Linked DNA regions of Cricetulus griseus. The main gene of each other region encodes a partner of the protein of the gene in region 5 in a complex. Links are inferred from orthologs where the notes say so. Each region holds a gene or a part of one and is shown on either strand. Other genes may lie near its edges.

The links.
Region 1: the proteins of Gnai1 (region 5) and Xcr1 are in contact, whole or in part, in a cryo-EM structure (PDB 9AST), measured with the Homo sapiens proteins. The link is inferred for Cricetulus griseus from reciprocal best matches to the Homo sapiens genes GNAI1 and XCR1. Residues at the interface, in NP_002060.4 of Homo sapiens: Glu28, Ala31, Arg32, Leu194, Asp315, Phe336, Thr340, Asp341, Ile343, Ile344, Lys345, Asn347, Leu348, Lys349, Asp350, Cys351, Gly352, Leu353, Phe354; in NP_001019815.1 of Homo sapiens: Glu63, Thr66, Arg127, Ser130, Val131, Pro134, Leu135, Leu138, Val140, Arg146, Tyr205, Leu212, Ser215, Ser217, Lys218, Arg219, Arg222, Thr223, Leu226, Ile227, Val290, Gly291, Val292, Lys293, Phe294.
Region 2: the proteins of Gnai1 (region 5) and Gpr34 are in contact, whole or in part, in a cryo-EM structure (PDB 8XBE), measured with the Homo sapiens proteins. The link is inferred for Cricetulus griseus from reciprocal best matches to the Homo sapiens genes GNAI1 and GPR34. Residues at the interface, in NP_002060.4 of Homo sapiens: Glu28, Ala31, Arg32, Val34, Leu194, Asp315, Glu318, Ile319, Tyr320, Asp337, Ala338, Asp341, Ile343, Ile344, Lys345, Asn347, Leu348, Lys349, Asp350, Cys351, Gly352, Leu353, Phe354; in NP_001091048.1 of Homo sapiens: Asn87, Ile89, Arg152, Lys155, Ile156, Ser159, Ile160, Gln161, Gln162, Lys164, Ile166, Leu245, Ser253, Lys254, Pro256, Asn257, Lys260, Tyr261, Thr264, Asn267, Ser268, Val271, Met330, Ser331, Ser332, Arg335, Lys336.
Region 3: the proteins of Gnai1 (region 5) and C5a anaphylatoxin chemotactic receptor 1-like are in contact, whole or in part, in a cryo-EM structure (PDB 8HK5), measured with the Homo sapiens proteins. The link is inferred for Cricetulus griseus from reciprocal best matches to the Homo sapiens genes GNAI1 and C5AR1. Residues at the interface, in NP_002060.4 of Homo sapiens: Arg24, Ala31, Arg32, Glu33, Val34, Lys192, Asp193, Leu194, His195, Lys314, Glu318, Tyr320, Phe336, Thr340, Asp341, Ile343, Ile344, Lys345, Asn347, Leu348, Lys349, Asp350, Cys351, Gly352, Leu353, Phe354; in NP_001727.2 of Homo sapiens: Asn71, Arg134, Leu137, Val138, Pro141, Ile142, Cys144, Gln145, Asn146, Phe147, Arg148, Ala150, Thr229, Arg232, Arg233, Ala234, Thr235, Arg236, Ser237, Lys239, Thr240, Val243, Val244, Ala303, Gln305.
Region 4: the proteins of Gnai1 (region 5) and Htr1a are in contact, whole or in part, in a cryo-EM structure (PDB 8PKM), measured with the Homo sapiens proteins. The link is inferred for Cricetulus griseus from reciprocal best matches to the Homo sapiens genes GNAI1 and HTR1A. Residues at the interface, in NP_002060.4 of Homo sapiens: Arg32, Lys192, Asp193, Leu194, Lys314, Asp315, Glu318, Phe336, Thr340, Asp341, Ile343, Ile344, Lys345, Asn347, Leu348, Asp350, Cys351, Gly352, Leu353, Phe354; in NP_000515.2 of Homo sapiens: Arg134, Ala137, Ile138, Pro141, Ile142, Tyr144, Val145, Asn146, Ile218, Ala222, Arg225, Ile226, Lys228, Thr229, Met335, Arg339, Lys342, Thr343, Thr346, Leu347, Asn404.
Region 6: the proteins of Gnai1 (region 5) and Galr1 are in contact, whole or in part, in a cryo-EM structure (PDB 7WQ3), measured with the Homo sapiens proteins. The link is inferred for Cricetulus griseus from reciprocal best matches to the Homo sapiens genes GNAI1 and GALR1. Residues at the interface, in NP_002060.4 of Homo sapiens: Lys192, Leu194, Lys314, Asp315, Thr316, Lys317, Glu318, Tyr320, Phe336, Thr340, Asp341, Ile343, Ile344, Lys345, Asn347, Leu348, Lys349, Asp350, Cys351, Gly352, Leu353, Phe354; in NP_001471.2 of Homo sapiens: Thr70, Arg133, Ala136, Ile137, Ser140, Arg141, Ser143, Val223, Leu227, Lys230, Leu231, Asn233, Ser235, Lys236, Lys237, Ser238, Ser241, Lys244, Thr245, Thr248, Leu306, Ser307, Glu308, Asn309.
Region 7: the proteins of Gnai1 (region 5) and Ffar4 are in contact, whole or in part, in a cryo-EM structure (PDB 8ID3), measured with the Homo sapiens proteins. The link is inferred for Cricetulus griseus from reciprocal best matches to the Homo sapiens genes GNAI1 and FFAR4. Residues at the interface, in NP_002060.4 of Homo sapiens: Ala31, Arg32, Val34, Leu194, Gln304, Glu308, Lys314, Asp315, Glu318, Ile319, Tyr320, Thr321, His322, Phe334, Asp337, Ala338, Thr340, Asp341, Ile343, Ile344, Lys345, Asn347, Leu348, Asp350, Cys351, Gly352, Leu353, Phe354; in NP_001182684.1 of Homo sapiens: Arg71, Ala73, Thr74, Arg136, Cys139, Ile140, Leu143, Gln144, Arg145, Gly146, Ile230, Ile233, Thr234, Ser237, Arg238, Arg240, Leu241, Ser244, Leu245, Ala246, Tyr247, Ser248, His251, Arg254, Gln258, Arg261, Leu262, Leu266, Leu269, Met323.

The regions. Positions count from the first base shown.
Region 1 is NC_048597.1:230,777,829-230,780,701, forward strand, and holds Xcr1 (chemokine XC receptor 1), read right to left. Parts: upstream 1,698-2,873; coding exon 681-1,697; 3' UTR 501-680; downstream 1-500. UniProt on the Homo sapiens protein: Receptor for chemokines SCYC1 and SCYC2. Subsequently transduces a signal by increasing the intracellular calcium ions level. Receptor for XCL1/Lymphotactin.
Region 2 is NC_048604.1:119,203,975-119,206,896, reverse strand, and holds Gpr34 (probable G-protein coupled receptor 34), read right to left. Parts: upstream 1,712-2,922; 5' UTR 1,626-1,711; coding exon 501-1,625; downstream 1-500.
Region 3 is NC_048602.1:10,938,766-10,943,057, forward strand, and holds the start of C5a anaphylatoxin chemotactic receptor 1-like, read right to left. Parts: upstream 2,801-4,292; 5' UTR 2,643-2,800; coding exon 2,502-2,642; intron 1-2,501.
Region 4 is NC_048595.1:323,737,568-323,740,831, forward strand, and holds Htr1a (5-hydroxytryptamine receptor 1A), read left to right. Parts: upstream 1-1,495; coding exon 1,496-2,764; downstream 2,765-3,264. UniProt on the Homo sapiens protein: G-protein coupled receptor for 5-hydroxytryptamine (serotonin). Also functions as a receptor for various drugs and psychoactive substances.
Region 5 is NW_023276806.1:175,922,431-175,925,930, reverse strand, and holds part of Gnai1 (guanine nucleotide-binding protein G(i) subunit alpha-1), read right to left. Parts: intron 1,155-3,500; coding exon 1,112-1,154; intron 1,023-1,111; coding exon 881-1,022; intron 1-880. UniProt on the Homo sapiens protein: Guanine nucleotide-binding proteins (G proteins) function as transducers downstream of G protein-coupled receptors (GPCRs) in numerous signaling cascades.
Region 6 is NC_048595.1:233,140,610-233,144,840, reverse strand, and holds the start of Galr1 (galanin receptor type 1), read right to left. Parts: upstream 2,801-4,231; coding exon 2,126-2,800; intron 1-2,125. UniProt on the Homo sapiens protein: Receptor for the hormone galanin. The activity of this receptor is mediated by G proteins that inhibit adenylate cyclase activity.
Region 7 is NC_048596.1:23,682,747-23,686,990, reverse strand, and holds the start of Ffar4 (free fatty acid receptor 4), read left to right. Parts: upstream 1-1,444; coding exon 1,445-2,011; intron 2,012-4,244.

The DNA.
Region 1 (2,873 bases), on a different chromosome or scaffold from region 5:
AACAATATCTTATTCATTCTTGCATTGTCTAAATATTTAGTTTAGATGGTAGCACATATTGCATTCAATTATGGGGTAAATATTTAAAAGCTAGTTTGTGTATTAGCAGTTGTTGCCAGAATATAGAACTATTTTCAGTTTAGAGGGATTTTATGGTCTAGACTTCATTGTGACTATACTTATTTGAGGATGTAACTATTCTTATCCTGAAGACATTTTCTCCAGAAGCTGAAAAGAAGCACAGAACCAGACATCACCAAAGTAAAAAAAAAAAAAAAACAAAAAACAAAACAAACAAAAACAAACAAACAAAAAACAAACAAAAGAGATCAGGTTTGGCAATCCTATGTGCCAGCAACCCCATTGTCCAATTCGTACATGCTGAGAGTTTGAGCCCACCCAATGTCTGCAAATCCTTCTATTTAGGATCTTCTGACCAATCACTGATAAGCAATCTATGTCTAAGTGAGAGAATGAATGATGAACGGAGTCCAGGAAGTATTGCTTTGGATGGCCCAGCTGGAAGCCACTTTCCCACAGCTGTCATGTCGTTCCTCCACACCCCTGCAATAGTTGCTGGCATCTCCACTGTTGTGTCTTCTGAAGTGTTCCTTCCTGATCTACTTCTCCTTGCCTTTCTCCAGCATCCCTAGTCACCTCTGGGTACCCATCCTCTCCTCTCAGTAGAAGGAGGGGCCCTCATATGTAAAGGCACCTGGGGAGTAGGAGGATGGGACGGGGGTGAGTGTCTTCTGGCAGACCTGCTGAAGGAGACTTTTTAGGTGTCTGCGGAACTTGACCCCAACAAAGACATAAAGCACTGGGTTGAAGCAGCAGTGAGAGAAAGCCAACATTCGGAAGATGATCATAGCCATGTCCAGCCGTTGCCTGATCTCACAGGTCCTCTGGATGATATCAGTTTCCTGCAGTGTCTTGAGGAAGAGGATGAGGTTGTAGGGAGCCCAGCTGAGGAAGTATGCCACCACGATGGTGAAGATGAGCCTGACTGTCCGGTGCCTCTGTCTGGACTTTGAACGAAACAAGGTCCTGAGAATCTGTTTGTAACAGAACAGGATGATCCCCATGGAGAGGAGAAAGAAAATGTTGTGCTGGTAGACTGAGGCCAAGAACCCACGAAGTTCAGAATAGTCACATGTTGAGACATTCACCTTGTGGAAAATAGCATCAGGGATAGAGGAAAGGATGCTGGCTGTCCAGACAGATGTGATCACCAGCACACGACAGCGGAGGGTATGGATGCCCAGAGTAGAGATGGGGTTCACTACAGACAGGTAGCGGTGGATGGTCATAATGGTGAGAAAGAAGATGCTGCTGTAGAGGCTGATGGAGAAGATCAGGTTGAGGAGTTTGCAGAGGAAATCACCCAGCAACCAACCCCAGTATTGCGCTAAGACCCATACAGGCAGCAGGCAGGAGAAAATAAGGTCTGAGAGACACAGGTTGAGGATGAAGACATTGGTGAGTGACTCTAGATTCTCATACTTCACCAAGACCCAGAAAACCAGGCTGTTACCCATCAGGCTGAGGAATAATACCAGAGAGTAGAGGACAGCAGTGAAGTTGGCAAAGGTGGTCTCGCTCTCACATAGATGACTCTGTAGATCATAGTAATAATCATAGGACTCCATTTTGTCCCAGGAGGCAGTGGTGCTGAGAGCATCTGAAATGATAGACATGTGGGGTTTAAATCCATATGGTAGGAGGAGATTATTAGGACCCATGTTACAAAAAAGTAAGGTTCATGGGCCAGATTCCATTGGTGAGCTATTTATAACAAGATTGAGAATTGGGCCATTATATAAAGTCAGTAAGGAACATTTTTTTCTTTTCCATAGAAAGATTTTCTTGATCAAGGACATGCAACATTGATTTATATTCTGTCACAAGCCCCATTCTTCTGGTAGACTGGCAACTGAGAAGTCTTGATAGCTCAAGTTCACAGTAGATGTAGGTGAAAAGAGAAGTGCAATTGGACTGAAAGACTTGAAACCAAAGTGGGTTCTGCTATTGTGTCCATGTATCATTTTTAAAAAAACTTTCTGAGCCTTAGTTTCTTGTATACAAAAGGGCTCATGTTACCAGATTAATTCATTCTATTGTTCAATATATGGATACAGAGCATTTATTCAATGTCATTATTCAATAAATGGCTAGAGAGTGTTGTGCCTGTCTTTCCTCTCTTTCTCCCTCCCCTCCTTTTTTTTCTCCTTTCACTTTCTCCATTCTCTCTCATTTTCTGTTCATAAACTGAATAGACCTTGATAAAACGCTTGTGTTGAAAAATTTTCTCTTTCTTGGGAAATGCCAAGGAAGTGAGAGCACAGACAAAGCAAAATAATGCCCAAGCTACAGATAAAGATTCTGGAAGGACGAATCCTTGCTAACACTAAGGATCACATCTCAAGGCAGAAAACGTCTTCAGCTGAGAGTTTAGTTTACAAGTCTTATAAACACGTGTCTAGAGCAGACAAGGGGGAAAGAAGCTCAGAAAACTATAGTGAGCCAAACTTATTCAACTGCCTTTGGTAACTATTAGAAACAGTGAGATGAAAAGGCTGAAGAAATGACTGGAAGGGCTGGAATTTTCATCTGGATGAGTCATGGAAGCTGCTGAGTCACATGAGGAGGAGAGTAGAAAGCTAGAAGCAGCAGCTATCTGAATCAGATAAGTGAGTTCTCATCACCTGCTGTGTGGGGGGTACTGTGCTTATGATACTTTCTATAAGAAAGTTGCAAGATCACAGGGAATATATATACATACATACATACATACATACATACATACATACATACACGCATACGCATACGCATACACATATACATATACATATACATCCATTTCATAGGATAGG
Region 2 (2,922 bases), on a different chromosome or scaffold from region 5:
TAGTGGGTGGTCTCACTTTGATTAGAATTTTATTAACTCATTTGTTAGCAGAGATTTAGGCATAAATGCATACATCAGCAAGCAATATATGCTGTTGAAGTACCAAACATGTTTTCTGACATTTCAACACAATCCCCAAATTGCTTTATTTTTCAACATATTTAAAATTAGTATCAAGTGCCTAATTTTAGTAACTCTTTAGTGACTTGAAAAACAATGTCACTTCATTCATTTTGTTTTTAAATCCAGGAATTTCACTTAATGTTATAACTGATGTTAAACGTGTTAACAATAAGTTCTGAGAAGATTCTACATATAGTTCTAAAAATGTAAGGGATAATGTAAGCTTTTCTTTGCCTTGAACTATTTTACAGTTAAGCAAGTGAAAGATCACTTCTGAAGATCTGGGTTTTGGATATGCTGGGGCTTTGTTCCATAATTTTACCAATCTCAAGGAAGGAAGAAGCCGGCTGGTATCATTTTATTTTAGCACATTTGCCTCAGTTACCCTTAGTATTGTACTGCATTTTGGCTGCCACAGATAGATCATGCAGGGAATACCCTGGCTTAAATTCTGAAGTACTTTCACTTCTGCTTGCTTCACTTTGAAATCTTCTAAAAAGAAGTTGGCACATGATTTTGCGAATATTACTGGACATCAGGAAATACATGACTGGATCTAAGCAGCTGTTGAAAGCGGAAAGAACCAACATGATCTCATTGGTTTTGTGAACGATTCTCTTCCAGTAGCAAGAAGGCTCATTTAGCTGTGAAGAAATGTAGATGAATCGAAAGGCATGATAAGGCACAAAACATATAGTAAAAATGATCAGTACGATAAAGGAGTTCCGAGCTGTTGTAGCATATTTGCCAGAATTAGGAAATTTTGACCTCCTTTTAGAAATCCTTAGTAGATTCTTGCCAATCTTAATATATGAGAGGATTATCAGTAGGAAAATAAGCCAGAACATTACCACAAGAACATAGTTAAAAATTGCTTCTCCCTTTGCATTATGCCTGTCTCTGTAATGGAAACACAATGTGGAATTGTGCCCTCCCTTCTTCAGTGTCAAAATGATCATAGTTAAAAACCCAGCAAGAGCAACTGCCCATACTATACAGCAAACATAAATACTTTGCCTGGTGGTTATTGCCCTCCTTTGTTGTATAGACCGATTAATTTTTACATAGCGATCCAAACTGATAAACCCAAGCAAAATAATACTGATGTACATGTTCATGTAAAATAGCGTCCCCACAACCTTGCAAAGAATCACACCTAGTGTCCACTTATTTTGGTTGATGTGATACATTATGCGGAAAGGGAGGCAGAAGATGAGTAGAAGGTCTGCAATGGCCACATTAAGTAGATAAATTTGAATGGAATTTCTTTTGCGGTGGATGCCCAGAAATACATAGAGGGCAATGATGTTCCCAACCAGTCCCACGATGAAAATAACAGAGTAGAAGGTTGTTAACACTGTAGATAGTAGTTTTTCATCCATTGGACAGCTAGTATCATTTGGCACTGTGGAGAAATTTTGTGAGGATTCGTCACTGTGATTCGTTATAAAGTGCATTCCATAGGAGGAGCAAGGCCAGCTGTTAACTGAAGTAGTCGTCATTGTTACAGTGTGACTTCTCAGTGTCTTCTGTAGCCCTCAGAACAGAGTATTTAATGACATGCTCTTTGTGTGTACTTCTTTATTTCTTCATGTTTTCCTACAATAGAATGGCAAATATTGAGTCCTTTGCTGTGTTAATAACAGCTGCTTTAACACAAAACATAAATAAGGATTTCATTTTGGACCTTATTTGGGACCATTTGGCTATCTACACAATGTGTGTAGTAGCATTATTGCATCACAAGACAGCAAAAAATACAGTAGGATCCCTAACCTTTTCTGTTGCTATGGCATGTGTACAGAGTTCATTTCATTTTTATATTAAAATAAATAATTGAACCATATGAGCATCATTTCTTAGCATTGTTATTATGGGAATAGAGATAGTAAAAAGAAACAGCAGCTCATTTTTTCAAGGATGCATATAAATGTACCCTAAAGTTGCTTGTTGTCATGGGTGAGCTGAGTTCCCTGCTGACCCTGCCCAGCTTTTCAGAAATGCTTCCTGGCCTTCCCCTTCCCTTATAGTTGGCATCCATTCATTTTGACACACATTGCCACATGGTATTACTGGATAAGCTGTAGTGATCTCTGTTTCCACAGAGACAATAGAAAAGAGGATCCCAAATTTCTTCCTTCACCTAAGACCAAGATAGGAGTATTAAAATTACTTATCTATAGGAATGTAAACTTATCAAAACAGACCATGGCTGGGACCTACCTCCTTTCACAGACTCGTGTAGCACTTCACAGGAGAATTCAGTGGTCATACAGTACCAGATCAGATAGCAGCCAACAAACCACTCCCACCCTTGAAGCCTGGGGCAGTAATATAGATGGGAAACAACACATGGAGTCCAAGATTATGACTCCATGTGGTTAACTAACTACATTTTAATTATGCTCTGGATTATATCATTTGAGATTGTCACCAGAAACTTCTAAGTATGTCAATTCTACTTGGTCCCAGAGCTACTTGTTATTGGACAATTCTCATGCATTTGACTGTTGGGGCCTATTATATATGTAAGGATAATTCAAGCAGGTCTCCTCATATTCCTTTATTATAGTAACGGCCCTGTTTTTCTGTAAAACCCTTTCATGGGTGTAACATAAAAACTTTATAGCAGAGGGCAGATGAGATAGGGTAAAGGTATGTTCTGCCAAGCCTAATTACCTGAATCTGATCTCCAAGATCTACATGGTAGAAGGAGAAAACTGACTCCACAAGTTGTTCTCTGACCTCCAGATGTGTGCAGTGGCACATTCATGTCACACAATACATACATACATACAT
Region 3 (4,292 bases), on a different chromosome or scaffold from region 5:
AGGTGTGGTGGTGCACACCCAAGCATCTGGGAGTGTGAGTCCAGCCTCATCTACACACAGAGTTCTAGGACAGCCAGGGCTATATAGTGAGACTCTTTCAGAAGGGAGTGGGGGGGGACAGAAGCTAACTCTCCATTGAGAGGGGATGAAACTTCCCACTGGGACAGTGCATGACTGTTAAAAGGGCTGTGACACCCTTGACACACGTGGGTATTCTGTATCCCCCGTATTGAGTGTTTACTTGTGTGGCAAATCAAAAGTGCTTAGCAGGATGACTGGCATGCAGTAATCGCTCAGTAATTGCCTATTTCACAATATTAAAACCTATTTATTCAAAAGAAGTAAAAAGTCAGGTGGCGGTGGCGCACGCCTTTAATCCCAGCACTCGGGAGGCAGAGGCAGGTGGATCTCTGTGAGTTCGAGTCCAGCCTAGACTGGACTCGAACAGACTGGTCTCTAGAGCGAGTGCCAGGATAGGCTCCAAAGCTACAGAGAAACCCTGTCTGGAAAAACAAAAGAAGGAGAAGGAGGAGAAGAAGGAAGAGGAGGAGGAGGAGAAGGAGAAGGAGAAGAAAGGAAATTATGTATAGGAACAAGGCTTGGTAGTGGTACATGCCTGTAACCCCAGTCCCCAGTACTGGGGAGGCCAAGGAAGACAATTCACGTGATTAAGACCATCTTGAGCTAGTGACATCCTGTCTTAAAAGATCAAGGACTGAAATGTAAGTCAGTGGTAGAGCTCCTGCCTAGAATCCCCCAGTGAGGAGCTGGGGGTGTGGCTCAGTGGTAGAGCCCCTGCCTAGAATCCCCCAGTGAGGGGTTTGGGGGTTTGGCTCAGTGGTAGAGCCCCTGCCTAGAATCCCCCAGTAAGGGGTTGGGGGCGTGGCTTAGTCATAGAGCACAGGCCTAACACGGCAGCCCAAATCGGGGACTCAACAGGCCAGGGTTCAATAGAGTGACTTGGTGCTCCAGAACATTGTGTAAAAAGGAAAAAGAACAGTCGATTATAGCCCTCCCTGTTCTGCAAACCCCAATTGGTCAGGGCAGGGCCAGAGGATGACATGGGACCAGGGATGAAGAAAGCTTGCAACTTCCCTGGTCATCGAGTTTTCCATTTCCTCTTTTGTGTGGAGGAAGCAAGGTCATATCCTCTGTTACAGAGGTGCCAAATCGCAACTCTCCTAGCACCATGTCCTAACCTCAGGGCCCGGGCATAAAAAAAGTACCCTTGGGGCTGGAGAGATGGCTCAGCAATGAAGAGCACTGACAGATCTTCCAGAGGACCTGGGTTTAATTCCCAGCACCCACATGGCGGCTCACAACTGTCTGGAACTCCAGTTTCAGGGGACCCGACACCTTCCCACCAATGCACACAAAATAAAGTTAAATAAAGCAAAAAAAAAAAAAAAAAAAAAAAAAAAACAAAAAAACACAACCAGCCGACAGACCACAACCCCAGAGAACCTAGTTGACAAAGACGACCCTAAGAGAGACCTACATGGATCTGCCTAGGAAAAGGAAAAAGACAAGATCTCCTGAGTAAATTGGGAGTGGGGGAAAAACATATAGCTCAACTAAATAAATAAATCAAATAAATTTTAAAAAGGGACCCGCTTAGAGGGACACAGACTCCAGGCTGCAGTTCCCCATCTAACTTCTCCAGTAATGACCCAGTAATGACCATCCTTCCAAACTGCTGCCAAGACTTGGCTTTTGTTTTGTTTTGTTTTGTTTTGTTTTTGAGACAGGGTGTCATTCTGTAGCACTGGCTGCCCTGAAACTCACTCTGTAGACCAGGCTATCCTCGAAGTCAGAAATCCACCTGCCCCTGCCTCCCGAGAGCTGGAATAGCAGGCGTGCACCACCACGCTGGGTAGTTTGTAAAATTATGTTTTTGTTGTTGCTTTTCTGAGACAGGGGTCTCACTTAGCCCAGGCTAACCTGAAAATCACTATGTAAGATTCAACATCCAACTCCTCTGCTCCTACCGCCCACGGGAGTGCAGGGATCACACGTACCACCACACCCTGTTTTACTGAGTACTGGTAATTAGACCCGGGGCTTGCAGCACTCCCCCCCCCCCCCCGAGCACACCTGAGCTGTATCTCCAATCCATTTGTCTTTTAACACCATAGCTCACAGTGTAACTCAGGCTGGCCTGAAACTCACTATGTAGCCCACGCTGGCCTGGAACTGCAGGCAGCACCCTGCCCCAGCCTCTTGAGGGTTTAGATTCCAGGTGTAAGCTGCCACGCCCAACTGCTAGAACTCTTCATTTAGGAGAGCCAATGCCAGGGTTTTCTGACCTGAAGAACCTTCTCAGTTGTGCAGCCCTGTGAGACTGCTGTGGTTTCCGTAACTCCTCCTGGTCCCCGACCACATCCCATCCCCAGTGTATGAACTCCGTGTGCAGGTGGGAGAGAGCAGATGAAGACAGCTTGAAGGAGGAAAGGGCAGACAGAGGCCGACGGGGAGAATGAGGGGGGGAGGAACCCACTCACCATGTCCTGGCTCCACCTGGGCTCTGTGGCGACCAACAACGGATGCCTGAAGGTCCCTCCTGTCGACGGAGTGGTGCTTTTTAAAGAAGAGATGCAAGCAGCTGGGAGGAAGTGACTGTCTTGTCCCTCTGAGGTGCTCATTGGTCACACACTGACCATTCGAGTTGGGGCTCCCTCCACTGGTGCTCTCCCAGAAAACCCTCAGCACCTCCCAGTGCTACCCAAGCCAAGGAAAAAAGGCAGGCTTGGAAAAATAAGGAAGTCTCTGGCCCCGGAAGGGAAAAAGGCAATTTCCAGGGCCTCTTCTCCATTGTGGTAGATGTAGCTGTCTTACTATACAGGCTTTGGTTCCCTCATCTGAAGGGGACTCTGCTTCAATAGAAGGAAGTCTCAGGGTTCCTGGGGTTTCCAGAGAATAAGGATGGTAACCACAGCCCCAGACTCCCAAACAGATGGCCTTTTTTTTGGAGGAGGGGTTGTTTGTTTGTTTAAAGATTTATTTACTTATTTATAAGTGCTCTCTCTGAATACACACCTTTATGCCAGGTGAGGGCATCAGATCCCACTAGAGATGGTTAGAGGGTTGTGAGCCACCATGTGGGTGCTGGGATTTGAACTCAGGTCCTTTTAGAAGAGCAGTCAGTGCTCTCTAACTGCTAAGCCGTCTCTCCAGAGATAAAGCACACTCGGGGTTGTAGAGCTAGCCCAGGTCTTAAGGTTCTCTCCCATGGGAGGTGGGTGTGTGTGATAACACACCCCTGTAATCCTAGCACTCAGGAGAAGGCTGCTGCAGGAGAGTCACCCTGCACTGCAGAGTGAGACCTTGTCTCAAATAATAAAAACAAGCCGGGCAGTGGTGGCGCACGCCTTCAGTCCCAGCACTCAGGAGGCAGAGGCAGGCGGATCTCTGTGAGTTCGAGACCAGCCTGGTCTACAAGATTTAGTTCCAGGACATTCTCCAAAGCTACACAGAGAAACCCTATCTTGAAAAAGAAAGAAAGAAAGAAAGAAAGAAAGAAAGAAAGAAAGAAAGAAAGAAAGAAAGGAAGGAAGGAAGGAAGGAAGGAAGGAAGGAAGGAAGGAAGGAAGGAAAGAAATCAAATAATAAAAACAAGCACAAACGACAGAATCATAGCTCGGTTTGTAAAACTCCTGCCTGGCATGCTCAAAGCCCTGGGTTCCATTTCCAGCATAAAATCTGATTAAGTGGTGCATCCAATCCCAGGACACAGGAGTGTGAGTTAGTTTTCTCTCATCCACAGCCACCAGTGCCCGGGAAAACCTGTCCCCTGTGGAAGGTGCACGAGCCGAGCAGGTGGTTGCGGCCCCCATTTCTCCAAGAAGAGCAGCTGAACTGTCAGTGGATCCCTGAAGCTGAAAGGCCACCATAGTGTGGCAATTATCATTACTAACCCCAACCTGCTGCCAGGCTGAGTGCAGCTCCAGGCTGCCGCCACGCTGGCTCCTGAGGCAGGAGGTGGTGAATCCATCACGACAGGGCTGAGACACAAGGGGCCTTCCCACACTGGTCTGGTGGGCTTGTGAGAGATTCTACTGTCTGCTCTACCAAAAAAGCAGGAGGCTGGAGAGATGGCTCAGAGGTTAAGAGCACCGACTGCTCTTCCAACAGGTCCTGAGTTCAATTCCCGGCAACCACATGGTGGCTCACAGTCATCTACAATTTAATCTGGTGCCCTCTTCTGGTGTGCAGATATACATGGAAGCAGAATGTTGTATACATAATAAGTAAATAAAATATTTTTTAAAAATTAGCTAACTACATGAAAGTAC
Region 4 (3,264 bases), on a different chromosome or scaffold from region 5:
TATGACGTTTCTAGATGGCGCTCTGAAGCACTTGCCGGAAGGTGGCGGCATAAGCAAGCCCTTCTAGCGTAGAGCTGTCCCAGGTGCTGAACCCAATTTCAGAGAGCTGCAGAGCGGGTAGCGATAGGGTCTTCAGAAAGTTCTCGGAAGATTTGCAGACTGGTGAAGGAGACAAAAGTCCAAAGTCCATAGGAAATGCAAGTCCTTGTTTACAATGCATCTATGTATTGTAAGCCATTTCTTTCCACAAATTTACTTGCTACAAAGCAATAGGAGGTGTTAATGACATTGAAATGAAGAGAGAAGTGATGAAAAGTGTGTGTGTTTAGAATACACACCTACTTGGAGTTTTTAATCTTTTCTTTGCGACCCAGCTGTTTATCAGCTCTTGTCCTTTAGCGTGTCCTTTATAATTTTTCCCCATTCCACAAGGAAACTAGGAAAAGGTCATAGGCACCAGCACTCCAAGATAGACTAAGATGTCAAATGAGACTGCGTTTTTAAGAAGCTAAGACCCACACTCTCAACCTAATAATTCAGAGGGTGACCCGGGGCTGCCCAAATTTCCAGGCTTCAGGCTTTCTGTATCTGTCCCCATTTTCTATAAGCACACCGTGAACCTGGCTCTACTTGAGAAGTTGACAGAAATAAAGGGAATGGATGGTAGGGAAAGATTTTTGTCTCCCTCTAGTTTCCTGGGCAGGAGGCGGAGTTTCATCTGCTAAAACATTGGTTTGACTAGCGGATCGGAGTGGGCATGTGAAGTGAGTTCTGAGTGTGTCGACTCGAATGTAAAGACGCCTGTCTAGAAGGATAGGAGGAGGGCGGGGACCTAGAGGAAGGAGACACACTCTTGGCTGGGGAAGTATTGGGTGGTGGTGGGGGTTAGCGTGGGAGGAAGGGAGATTAGCTGTCTGAGCAACATATATAGGGATAAAGAAAGAGGGGTGAGAAGGAAAGGAGAACTGAAAGGAAGGCCAATAGGAGGAAGCCGAGAGAAGGAGGCTGAAAAAAGAAAAACCGAGACTAGAGAAGTCCGGAGGGAGAGGGAGAGAAGGAACTAGGAGACCAGGGTCACAGAATGACCCCAGAGCTTGGGGTTTCTGAGATTCTAGACTGATTGCTAGTCGGCAGAGTCGGGCTCCCGCAGCTAGTTGGGCAGCGACAAAGTGAAATGGACAGCGTGAGACAGATGTTCCAGCCACCTCTCCACCACTCAGAGATTTGGAAGCTGCTCTGGGGCTAACTACAGTTTCCTAGCTGGAGCCTCTGAGCGCTCGGGACCCGCGGGAGCCAAGCAAGAGAGCGCGCCGGGAAGCTGCCCCTCTCAGATGCCTTCGCTAGAGCAGTAAGAACTTCCCGCTCCAGTCCCTGGATCCCCTCCCTCTGAAATTCCCCAGAAAAGGAGGAAGACCCTAGGGGGAGGGGCGAGGGAGATCCCCCTTGCAGCTCTTTCCCCCTCCCTTCCCCCACCCCACCGGGCGTGCAGGCAGACATGGATATATTCAGTCTTGGCCAGGGCAACAACACCACATCTTCCCAGGAGCCCTTCGGGACAGGCGGCAACGTTACTGGCATCTCCGACGTGACCTTCAGCTACCAAGTGATCACCTCTTTGCTTCTGGGCACTCTCATTTTCTGCGCGGTGCTCGGCAATGCCTGCGTGGTGGCTGCCATCGCCCTGGAGCGCTCCCTCCAGAATGTGGCCAACTATCTTATCGGTTCCTTGGCGGTCACCGACCTCATGGTGTCAGTGCTGGTGCTGCCTATGGCTGCTCTGTACCAGGTGCTCAACAAGTGGACTCTGGGCCAGGTCACCTGCGACCTGTTTATCGCCCTGGATGTGCTGTGCTGCACCTCATCCATCCTGCACCTGTGCGCCATCGCGCTAGACAGGTACTGGGCGATCACTGACCCTATAGACTACGTGAACAAGAGGACGCCCCGGCGCGCCGCTGCGCTGATCTCGCTCACTTGGCTCATTGGCTTTCTCATCTCCATCCCGCCCATGCTGGGCTGGCGCACCCCGGAAGACCGCTCGGACCCCGATGCATGCACCATCAGCAAGGACCACGGCTACACCATCTACTCCACTTTCGGCGCTTTCTATATCCCTCTGCTGCTCATGCTGGTTCTCTATGGGCGCATCTTCCGAGCCGCGCGCTTTCGGATCCGCAAGACTGTCAAGAAGGTAGAAAAGAAGGGAGCAAGCACCAGCCTCAGTACATCGTCGGCCCCGCCCCCCAAGAAGAGCCTGAACGGACAGCCAGGTAATGGGGACTGGAGGCGCAGCGCTGAGAACAGGGCTGTGGGGGCTCCGTGCGCAAATGGCGCGGTTAGGCAGGGTGATGACGAAGCCACCCTGGAGGTGATCGAGGTGCACCGAGTGGGTAACTCCAAAGACCACCTGCCGCTGCCCAGCGAGTCGGGAGCAACCTCCTATGCCCCCGCCTGCCTGGAGAGAAAAAATGAGCGGAATGCTGAGGCAAAGCGCAAGATGGCCCTGGCCCGTGAGAGGAAGACAGTGAAGACTCTGGGCATCATCATGGGCACTTTCATCCTCTGCTGGCTGCCCTTTTTCATTGTGGCTCTGGTGTTGCCCTTCTGTGAGAGCAGCTGCCACATGCCTGCATTGTTGGGTGCCATAATCAACTGGCTGGGCTACTCCAACTCCCTTCTCAACCCAGTTATTTATGCTTATTTCAACAAGGACTTTCAAAATGCATTTAAGAAGATCATCAAGTGCAAGTTCTGCCGCCGATGATGATGGTGAAGAGGAGGATGGTGTTGGTGGAGAAGGAAGGAGAAGGGGAGGACTGTAGGGGTTACAGGATCCTCCCCGTTCACTCAGTGTCTCAGCCCTGGAAGCAACACCTGAGATAACTTGCTTTTCCTTATGACATGCAGCTTCTTGGCCCATGCTTTCCGATCTTGCTCTCTTTCTATTCCATTTCAAGGAGACAGTGCTCTTTGCAGAAACCTTAGAAGCCTCCTAGAGTCTGCAAAAAAGTTATTGGCTAAGTCTTTGGCCCTAGGATCAGTTTTGATAGTTGCAATAACCTCCTCCCTCTTCGAAATTAAACCTCGGTGGTTCAAGGCAGAAAATCCAAACAGAAAATATAAGCTGCATGGACGTCTGCCAGGAGAACTGCCACCTCTCTGCCCTACTTCTGGAACTTTGAGATTCAAGACTTTGCTCTGTCTTTAGAAACATCTACTCCCCTTTGGGTGTCAACCTTCTCCACTGAGTCTGGCTCCTATGTA
Region 5 (3,500 bases):
TTTGTTTCCTTGCTGTGTAGCACTGGCTGACCTAGTACTCAAGGTGTAGTCCACATTGCTCTCATTGCAGCAGGCCTCTTGCCTCAGCTTCCCAAGTAGTAGACTGAAATATCCAATCTGGTGAGCAAAATAAACCTTTTGTCTTTTTAAGCTAATTATCTCTGGTATTTTATTATGGTAATAGCAGATGAGCATAGGGGTAGAGAGGATCTAAATCTTATGGTCTGGGTATAAAAGGGCTGCAAATGTCCACATGATAAATGTTTGGTCCCCAGCTAATGGCCTATTGAGAGATGTCTGGATGGGAGTGGGTGGTAGGCCATAGCATCATAGTGAATTAAAATGCTGAAAAATCCAGAGGTGACCAGGCAATTAGAATAGGGGCCTGGCTGGTGGAATCAGGTCACTGGGAATGTCTTCAAAGGGAATATTTTGTCCTTGGCCCCTCCCTGTCTCTCTCTCTCTACCTACCATGGTGTGACCCACTGCTGCAACACCCTCCCTGCCATGTTGTTTTAGCCTTGTCTCAAGACCTCAGCAATGGAAACAGCCAACCATGGACTATGACACTGTGAGCCCAAATCAAGTTGTCCCCACTTGAGTGGGTTTGTACAGGCATTTTGTAGGATTGACAAAAAGTTCCTAAGACTTTAATACACTGTTATATAGAAACTTCGGTCATTCTTAACAGTCCAGATAAGTCAGTAGAAACAGCAGCAGGTGAAAAGTACTTACTTCCAAGGCTCCCAACTCATGCCTGTCCTTTGCACTTTGTATGTCAAGCGTTCCCAGTAGCTGTCTGGCCTCAGTTACATAACTACAGGACTATCCCATGAGATACTCCTCAGACCTGCTCCAGCAAACTCATTGACTTACTTACCGCCCGAGCAGAGTCTCCAAAGTCTATCTTCAACCTCCCCATGGCCCTGATGATGGCGATGATGGACTGGATGGTGTTACTGTAGACCACTGCCTTGTACTGTTTACACTCTTCTTCTGAGTAACCAGCCTCATGGATGATTCTAAAGAGAGGAGAGGAAAAGAAGCACACTTCCTTTATAGCCGTCACTCAGAGCCAGGAAGACATACTGCCCTGTCTCCAGCTACTCACTTCATTTGCTTCACAATTGTACTTTTCCCAGATTCACCAGCACCTAGAAAACAAAAGAAGGATTTTCTCATTCAGCATCAGCACTTAAGAATCTCCAGCTCCCAGCACACACATACACACACACACACACACACACACACACACACACACACAGGTGTGCTCACACCCTATATATCACTCACACTGAATCTGGTATTGCATTAAAACAAGATACAGAGCAGCAACTACGGAGGATAGAGAAGCAAAGACATAGAGCACAACATGCATATCACAGTCAGTAGGAAGTGGTCTCAGAATCATCCTGCTCCCTCTCCACCTCCTCCTTCCCATTCTTTCTTGTGGGGCTGGGGACCAAACCCTGGGCCTCACATATTCAAGGCAAGTAAATGCTCTGGCACTGATCAGTACCCAGCCCTGTACTCAGGATCTTGCTAAGTAAGTAGTTTTATCATAGGAAGAAAAATGGGTAATTGTGTGAAATGACAAATGTTATTTTTTTTTCATTATGGTAACCACTTCACTGTATGTAGATCTCTTAACAGTACATTGCACATCTTAAAACATAATAAAACAATAAAATTTAAAATGAACTTTGTTTCCGAACATAAGAATTCTCAGATTGAAGTCTATTTTTCCATTACTTCATAATAATTTCAATGCCAATAAACTCAGTTAAAAATAAAAAAAAGTGTTCTGTTATTGTATATTCCCTAAAGCTTTAAAAAGAAATCCAGTCCTTGGCTTGGCATGGTATATCCAAGCTATAACCCCAGCATTTTTGAGGCTGAGGCAGATTTAAAGTGACCCCTAGCTACCTAGTGAGTTTCAAGGTAGCCACCAAGACTGTATCTCACAAAACCAAAAAAACATAGACATAAAAACAAATCACCTCTGATTGAAAACTGAAGTATTATAAATTGTTTCAATCATGGTTTTGTTCCACATTTCAACTGTTGGGAAAATATCTTAATAGTAACTTTCAGCTCCTTTGAAGTAGAAGGACAGTGTTATGAAGAAGCCAGTTGGGAGATTGCAGTGATGGCTCAGTGGTTAGAAGCACTTGGTGCTCCTACAGAGGAAGCAGGTTTTGTTCCCAGTACCCACACTGGACAGTTCACAACCACTTATAATTCCAGTTCCAGGGGATTCAACTTTCTCTTCTCATCTCTGAAGGCACAAGGTATGTATGTGGTACATATTCATACATGCAGGCAAAAGATTCATACATGTAAAATAAAAATAAATATAAAAACAAACAATCCAGAGAGCTGTGGAGATAGTTCAGCAGTTAAGAGCACTCCCAGGTTGGATTCAGAGCACACACATGGCAGATCACAACCATCCTCATACCAGTGCCAGGATATTTGATGCCCTTTTCTGATATCCACAGGTGCCAAGCATATGCATGGTAAACACACATCCAGGAAGAACATTTATACACACAAAATAAGTAAATCTACAATGAGGAGGAAGTGAGGAAGGGGATAATGGATGAGGGGATAGAGGAGGAGGAAGGGGAGAGAGGACAAGAGAGAGAGGAGGAATAGAGGGAGGAGCAAAAGGTTTCCTTAAGAGCTAAACCCAGGCTTTATGCCATATAACTATACCATAACTACTACCAAAGAAACAGGGTCCCCTTTCACTCTCATTCCATTTAGCAGTAGATGCTCTTACTGTGTCACCTTAGACCAACCAAGTTTTTCTGTGTGTTGAGAACATGTGAGCACAGGACATGGCAATGTCTGACAATTTCACACATTTGTGGCCTTTTTTTATTTTTTTAGCATGGCCACATGTTCCGGACTTAGTTCCTGTTTGAGAAAGACTTAGTTCCTGGCTAGTGTATTTCGAGAGCCTCCTTCTCCTGTTTTCCTAGAGATGTTCCCATGCTTTGTGCACAGCAAGCATTACTTAAGAATATAAACACAAGAATGCCCAGGACTGATCATATCGAAATCCTTCAAACACTATCTCCCCTGCTCCACCCCCCAACAAGGTAGTTCTACTTTCTTTTGCCATCTGTGATCTTCTATCAACCACCACATTTATCTCCTCTGCCAGTCCCTCCCAGAGTTCCACACGTAATACTTGCTGCCTTCCTTTGTCTGATTCTACTGGGATTCTCAGCACCTGTCATCACACAGTGAGCCAACCAGAAGGCAGACAAGCTGGTACATTGATTTAAGATTTTAGAACTCATTGATGCTAAACTTCAGTATTGCCTTTGTCTTTCCCTCTTGCAGCCACAGAAATAGAAACACACACACACACACACACACACACACACACACACACACACACACACACACACAGGACATCTGAAAATGAGTTGTAGTTAAATGGCCTATTTGAAACATCTCAGGAGAAAACTGCCTAAAGTTTACTAGGT
Region 6 (4,231 bases), on a different chromosome or scaffold from region 5:
AGTCAGGCCAACTAAGTTGGGTTCCAGTTCAGGAATTCTGCAGCACCTAAGCATATTGACTTTGCTGATCAGTCCACAGAGATGATTCCAAATGTGTTCTTCTTAGCTCTGTTTTCCCTCCACAGCTCAGGCTATAAGCACATAGTGGCACAAGGTCCTGCCATCAAGCAAGAGATTGTAGACATTGGGACCACTTATGATTTTATCTCTGGAGACAATGAGCATAGTGGGCATGCCCTCACTTCAGACCTAGGAGGGCTCTAAGCAGAATGCATGCTGAGGACAGAGAGTGGCAGTCAAGAGCCCTACAGTGCAGAGAGGAGCCGTCTTGAAGAACACAGGCTGCTCCAACTCACTATGCTCTCCAGGGTCTTTGAGGTGCAAAGAGCTGTCTCACTAAACACAGCTGAGAAGATCATCTCTGAATCAATGAATAAATGCAATTTATTCATTGATTTTTTAAAAAGAAAAATCTAAAATACACACCAATCTCAAGTGTTATTTTGGCCATTTGTGGTTCCTCGAGTTGGCCCAATTCCTTGGACATATAGCCAGTTCAGAACCTGGCACTCAAGTTCTAGAGTCATTAACTAGATGACACTTACTTACTGCCTGACAGAAAACAGCAACTCCAGGTCTCTTATCTGTAGCTATTTAGGGCCTGGAATAAATGTGCAAGTATTAACATTGACTCAAAAGATGTTTGCAGCTAGACTACTTGGTGAGAAGCCAACTATTTCTGGATGAAAAAATAGTCAAATTTTCACCCATTCATTAGTTCCTAGACTTTGTCTTCTGTGGGACTTTTGTAGACTCTTTATTGACAGCCTGTTTAGTCCTAAAAGTTTACTTTTTCATTTCCACAAAGATGGAAATGGTTTTCCCCCTAGGGACTTGGGGCAGGGGATGAAGAGAGCCTGTGTTTCCTTTTCAAAGTAGCAGTTAGGAATTTAAAAGAGCAATATTTTAAGTACAGCTCTAGTTCCCAGCCCCTGTCCTCCAGAGGCCAATTAATTGTCATCTCCTGAAACCCCTTCTTTTACCAGACTCACCATCTGGTCAGTTGTTGCATCCCTCTGAAAGTCCTCTTATTAATAAGATAGAGATGGCAATTCCCACCCAGAGGCTCGAAGACCAAGCTCATGGGTGTGTGTGCATGCCCCACAACTCACTGTGCATAGAAGTCTTTGCCTTGCATTTGAAAAGACCAAAGGAATAAATTGGCTACTTCCTGACAGCTAGGCTGTACAAGCATCTTGGGAGCCAGTGTATTCATTTAAGTAATATGGCCATTCAAAAGACATACTGATCACATAGACGTGGGGAAGATGGATTCTTTTAAATGTATTTTTCTGGTGGAGATGTACCTTATAGTGGGATGTAAGAAACCATTGCTTTTCTAGATAGGAAGTTGTTTATGGTCCTACTGCCCACAGTCCAAAAGATTGGGAGTCAATGAAGGATAAAGTTGCATGGAAACTTTAGAATTTGCCTTGCAGGGATTCCCCCCTTCCCCGCTAGTTCTCATAGTACCCTAAAAAGAGATATGACATTGAGGTTATCTCAAGAACCTCATCAAGTGGCCACTAAAAATACACTCTGGATGATTAATGGTGCATCAGGTGGTGATTGAGAAGTCTAAGACTTTTGATTAATGTAAATGCCCATTTCTCTGCAATTCCTTAGGAGTTGTGAGCCACAGGTTCTTCCAAAATCATGACGACAAGATAGATAATCATATAGCTCCCCTCGCTGTGTGTTCTTGCTGCCCCTTTCCAGACCAAGCTCACCACCTGGATCCCCAACGCTGTCCACAAAACCTTGCTGGGAAACAGCAGCTGCCCTTCCACCCATGGTGTGTCCCAGCAGATCTGGGACACACACCTGCCTCTGTGCTTTGTGAGGCCACCTGAGGCAGAGCTGCAGTGCCCTTGAAGAAAAGCAGAATGAAAGTCTCTCTAGACAGGAATGCGAACTCTCCCCAGTACCTCTCAAACTCTAAGTTAACTTTCTTGTGTCACAAATCATTATAGAGCAAGCTGAGACAAAATGGAATGGAGAGGTAGAAGGAGCAGAGGAGCAGGATGCTAGAGGCTTGGTCGGGGGGACAGTGCTCCCCACTCACCTTGGCATAGCAAAAGCAGATGAGCAGTAAGGGCAGGAGATAGCCAAAGACGAAAGTGCACACCACATAAGCCTTCTTGTGGAGCTGGTTGGGCCAAAGCTCCCAGCAGAAGGTTTGGTTGTTGTCCCGATAGTAGAGACGCTGGTGGTAGGCCACTGGTGAGGCCATGGCGATAGACAGTGCCCAGATGAAGCCCACGCCCAGCAGCGCATTGCGGGACACCCTGAGGGAGGAGGAGCGCCGCGAGTGCACGATGGCCACGTAGCGGTCCACAGACATCGCGGCCAAGGTGAAAATGCTCACGAGCATGGATACAGTGAAGAAGTAGTGTGTGAACTTGCAGATGAAGGCGCCCAGCACCCAAGTGGGCAGTGCGTACACGGTGGCCTGGAAGGGAATGCAAAAGAGCAGATAGGCCAGGTCTGCGATGCTGAGGTTGAGGATGAACAGGTTGGTGGTGCTGCGCGGCTTGCCAGGTTTGCTGCGCGCCAGGACAGTGATCACCAGGCTGTTCCCCAGCACGCCCATCGCGAATATCAGGCCGAACACCACCAGCGTGATGAAGTTCTCCACGCCGATGCCAAACAGCAGCCTGGACTCCACAGCCGCGGGAGGCTCTGGATCACTCCCGTTCCCCTCGTTCCCCTCGCTGAGATTCAAGGTAGCCAGTTCCATCACTTACTGGCACACCCCTTGGGTGTCTATGCAACGGAAAGCGCTGGGAAGGAGTGCCAGGCAGGGAAGGCGGGCTCTGGGGATAGCTGAGAATCTCCGGGTGTCTCGGCACAGTGCAGTGAGAGCGTGTATCTCCAGCCAGAACCCCCAGCAACCTGAAAAGAGAGCAGGGGGCAGCGCCCCGGGCCGCGCCTGGTCAAACTGTCCTTGGTGCCTGGCCTGGCTACAGAGGGGGCGGTGCTGCAAGTACCTAGTTGAACCTTCCCATGCGGGGGCGGTGGACTCCACAACACAAGAGGTACTGGTCCTCTGTGTGACTCCTCCGATTGCGAGCTGGGCTGATAGGACTCGACCACGCGATCAGCCTGGTCTTTTGCGCCTTACCGGTTCTAATCCTTTTCTGGCCGTGTCCCCTTGCTCCCGCAGTGCCGTGGGGTCGCACCTGTTGCTCTGAGCCTCTTTATCCAAGCGAGCTGTCAGGGCACTGTGCTGCACACCTTGGATAGTGCAGAGTCGCTGAGCTTCCCACACTAAGCGCTGCGCTGCGCTGCGGCTCCCTCCTGCTTTCTCCCTGGTCTTCTGCAGGGCAAACCTCTCTCTGGGGTTCCCAGTGGCGGGCAGAGTTTCTTCTGCACGGGGGGGGGGGGGGCGGGCGGGGGCGGCGAGCAGTAAGAACTCAACTGCGTCTCCCCTGTGCCTCCGGAGTCCCTCCTGAAAAAGCACAGCTTGTTCTCTGAGCCTGGGCGCCCTCACCCAGATGGGTGGCAGCCCACCTCCTTGTTGGAGAGCTGCTCTGGTCCCTCGAAGGAGACTTCTTCGCACTGGCAGCCAAGCTGAGTAAGCTCCTGTGCGCGACTGGCTGAGGCGACAGGCTGTGCAGCCCTTCTGCCAACCGTACCCTGGTCTTTCCCGCTCCCAGCAAGAGCAGAAATAAACCTCACAAAAAAATCAAAAGGTTGGTCCTGCTACCGGAGGTGCTGTCACATTCGCTGCCTCTTTCCCTCCCTCATCCAGTCACAAGCTGAGCAGGGAAGAGGCAGGGGTGAATGGAGTTTTCATTAGGAGCGTGTCCTGCGCACACCGTACACCTCGGAGATCAGTCATTTCCACCACACATTACTCATCTGCGTGACACGAACGAACGGAAGCCTTGACAAGTGGTGTGTTTGTAAAGAGGTGTGGGACTTCCACCACCGCTGAAACCAGGGCAAACCAACTAGAAACAGCTGCCTATCTGGTAGTAGACACGGAAAGAAAACCCTGCCATTGCATGTACACGGTGTAGGAAGGGCTTAACTACGTCGCTTTCAAATAAGCCAGGGTCCTCCAGTGTGTGCGTAACCACAACTGTTGGACACAAGGCCGGAGGAAGAGTAAACACAGGCAGGGTCCTGGAAAAGCTCTGTGCCCAGGACATTGGCTCCTAGCACA
Region 7 (4,244 bases), on a different chromosome or scaffold from region 5:
CAAACAATTAACTGTGCATCTGGCGATTCCTTTTTACAAGGCAGAGTACGTGTGTGTGTGTGTGTGTGTGTGTGTGTGTGTGTGTGTGTGTCCCTTTGGGTTGTCCCCTCTGATCTTTCTCCCCTTCCCCATCTCTCTGCACAGAACCGGTATCTCTTGACCCCAATCAGACTGTTCCCAAAATGCCATCTCTGAGGCTCCTTTATTTCAATCCTTTTGCCCTTTACAACTGTGTCCAAAGCCCAGCTAGTTCTACTTTGCAGCTTGAAGCTAGTCAAACCCCAAGCTGAGCCTCTCCTACTGACAAGGGATCTGCTCCTCATATTAGAAGTCACATTGTGTCCTCACAAGTGGGTGACAAGCAGAGAGAGGCACAAAGGCATGCATTTGCAGACACCACAGCAAACTGGCACATGCTGTTCTTCATAAACGCACAGAGACAACCACCAGGCAGAATGGGCAGAGGGAGAGGCCTGGGTGTGAGGCAAAGGGAGAGGGCATGAGGTCATAGGTAACTGGAGAACTTAGAGGAGAAGTGGCGTCTAGATCTCAAGCCCCAAACACACTTTTAATTCTCTAATTACCTCCTTTTCTAGAGAAGGAAACTAGAAAGCAGTGGTAGGTGGTGTGGTGGCAAGGAGGAAGCTGAGGGGCCAGGATCTTATGAGTCACCAAAGGCCATCTTGAACATGTCATTCTTGCTGAGACAGTATCAGACTGCCCTGTGCTTCTCACACTCGGTGCTGGAGGCACGTTTATAGCTTGATTGTGCACTGGACCTCTTTCCCACCCCTCCCACTTCCCTTCTCCCTTCCCCCTCCCTGAATTACCACGCTGGATATCAAACCAAGTGCTGGGTAATGGCTCTACTAAGGAAGCAACTTCTCAGGTAAAGTAATTCCTGCTTTACAAATGAAAACAAACAAACAAACTAGTGTACAAAGAGATTAACTCACTCTGAAGTCAAACAAATCCCGTGCCACATTACAAGTTGCTATAGTGCATTCTGAACTACACAGGTCCCCACGATTTCCAAAGTTCAACTCCCGACACTCTTCAATCGAGGTTAGCTAAATAGGTGGATGGATGGATAGAGCTTCCAATAATGTGTCCATGAAAGGTGAAGAAGGCTGTACTGGGGAGAGGGGACAGGGATTATTTTAGTTTTCCGGTTAAAGAACTCTCAGACTGCCCAAGAGTCTGAGGCCTCTGCCTTGGTGACCACATCCCTGCCCACGGTGCTCAGGCCAGTGTTGCCAGGCACTTCCTCGTTCCGGGGCGCCCTGGACGCCGCTCCTACGCCCAGTGCCTGGGCAACTCAGGCAGGAGGGGGCCAGAGGGGAGGTGTCGTAACCGCCTCCCCTCCCTCTCTCCCCGCCTTGGCACTCAGCTACCTCGCAGATGAGCGCTCTCGCAGACTGCAGCGGGCGGCCGGGCGCCCGGCATGTCCCTTGAGTGTGTGCAGAGGACGGGCACTGGCCCCTCGTGCACCCTGGAACGAGACAATCGCACCCATTTCCCTTTCTTCTCGGATGTCAAGGGCGACCACCGGCTAGTGCTGAGCGTTGTGGAGACCATCGTGCTGGGGCTCATCTTTGTGGTGTCACTGCTGGGCAACGCGTGTGCCCTGGTGCTCGTGGTGCGCCGTCGGCGCCGCGGGGTGACAGTCAGCCTGGTGCTCAACCTCTTCTGCGCGGACTTGCTCTTCACCAGCGCCATCCCTCTAGTGCTCATCGTACGCTGGACCGAGGCCTGGGTGCTGGGCCCCATCGTCTGCCACCTGCTCTTCTACGTGATGACCATGAGCGGCAGCGTCACGATCCTCACGCTGGCGGCGGTCAGCCTGGAGCGCATGGTGTGCATCGTACGCCTGCAGCGCGGCTTGAGCGGCCCGGGGCGGCGGGCGCAGGCAGCGCTGCTGGCTTTCATCTGGGGTTACTCAGCGCTCGCCGCACTACCCCTCTGCATCTTGTTCCGCGTGGTTCCGCAGCGCCTTCCCGGAGGAGATCAGGTGAGCCCTGGCTGCGTGCAACGCATCAGGTGTCCCGGGCGGCTGGGATAGGGTGGGGGTGGGGGGATCGGACCGAAGTGGTGAGCTAGGATGATGGTGATTAGTAACAGTAATGGGTCGTTTGTGGAACTGAATCCTTTCTGGCAGACTTGCTGAAGTTTAATTTCATCAGTTTCCGTCTAGTGCCAAGTGGGTAAGTAAATCCTCCCGAATGCTGTTAAAGGGACTCTCCGGGACTTTTGCAAAATGAAGCGACTATTATAAGGCAAATTAAGCAACGTGAGCTTACGCCCAGATGGGACAGCAGGGTCTAAGGTGGCTCCTTGTGGAGTTGCTACTTTCTTTTCAGATGCCACGCTACTGTTACTATCACATGTATTTTACAGAAGCTGGGGCACTCACCGTCTGTCTCCCTTAGACCTGGGCTAGTACTTAAAAGTGCTGTCCCAAAGAGAAGGCTTATAGTGGGGAAGGGTTCCTGCTGCAGAGTTAAACTTACTCTGACCAGAAACATTGGCTGTGTGACCCCACCGGAACCCTTGAAACCCTGTTCTTAGAAGTTTGTTTCTTGTGTGGAGAACTGTGGAGGGAGATGTTTGTTTGACAATGACTTTGAATGGCTAATGAGCAGGAACTCATCAGGTCTGTGGCACTTCCTTAAAGAACATGCAAGCCTGTGACCAAGTCTCCCAGGGTGGGTACAGGAGATAGGGTTAGTTGAGTTGATGATACTGCTGGCCTGGAAGAGACATAGGTTCTCTATCTCACCCCGGGGTTGTTCTCAGCCCAGATAGGCTTGGGCATCAGGGCAGACTACACATAGATGCTTCTGGAATAAGTGAACACTCAGGCCTAACTCCACATCAAAGGGTCAGGTAGGTCACAGGCATGTCCAACCTGTATCCAACAGACCACATGTCAATATTATGTAGATAGCTATGAAGATGACTGGACACAGATGACAATGCCGTGCCACAGTCTCAAAATGTTGGACACCCCAATAAGAGCAAGGCTCTGCCGTCAGTTATCTGTTTAAGCTGTTTGTTCACTGAATTACAACAACATTGCTTTATTTTTCATAGAATTTAAAGGATTTCTTGTTCTTAACACAGAAAGATTTCAGTTTCAAGAATTAAGACCAAATAAGATATCTCAAATTTTCAGATGCACTGTCCCTTTTAAAATTCATCCAGGTGCAATCCTATTTAGCTGGCAAATAACACGAAGAAGAAAGAGGAGGAGGAGAAGGTCTCATCTCCTCCCAGCCAAACCCCAGGCTGAAACTGTGCACTACTGTGGTCACTGGGGCTGGAGCCATGAGGTCCTTGCTTGTGTTGTTCAGTGTGTATTCATCCTGCTGGGAGGGAATGTGTGTGACCGAGACACCTACAGCACTTCCAGAATATTACTGCAGGTTCTTCTGTGGAGATCATGGTTAGAAACCTCTTGTTTTAGTGAAAAAGCACCTGTTGGATTTCAAGGGTCTTTGGAGGGGCATTTGGGCAAAGCCACTAGAGTAGAATGAGCTGCTGTTGTTTTAGGGGCTAGGTGACAGGAGGCTAGTTATTGAAAGTAGTAGGGTTGGCATGGGGAAACTTGTAATGAAAAAAAAGAAAAAATGGGACAGTGTTCTGGCTCCCTGTCTTTCTTGTCATCTCCTCTTCCTGACTGTCTCTCTCCCTCTTCCCATCTCTCTCTCTCTCTCTCTCTCTCTCTCTCTCTCTCTCTCTCTCTGAATTATACTCTTTCTCTTCCTCTCTCCCTCCCTCCCTCTCTCTCCCTCCTTTCCTCTCTCACTCTCATTTTTTCTCTTTTCTTTTTTTCCTCTTTTTTCCCTCATTTTATTTTGGAAACACTGTCTCTGTTGTATATCTCTAACTGCCCTGGAACTTTCTAAGTAGACCAGGTAGGCCTTGAATGGGCAGAGATCCTCCTGCCTTTGCCTCAGGGTGCTGGGATTCAAAGCATGGGCCATCATGCCCAGTTAACTATCCCCTCTCTTATAGAATGGAGCTGTCCCCACTTCTTTGAGGCTTTATTTCCCACCATTTTAGCTACTGTGGCTTCAGTTACCCATTGACAACTGAGATCAGAAAATATTAGGTGGAAATTCCAGAAAAATAATCCTAAATTTTAAATAACTTTTATTTCAGTCTATGGTTATAATTTGTTGATTTCTGGCTAATCTCTTACTGTGTCATACTCATAACTTAAAATTTAGCCTAAGGGTGTA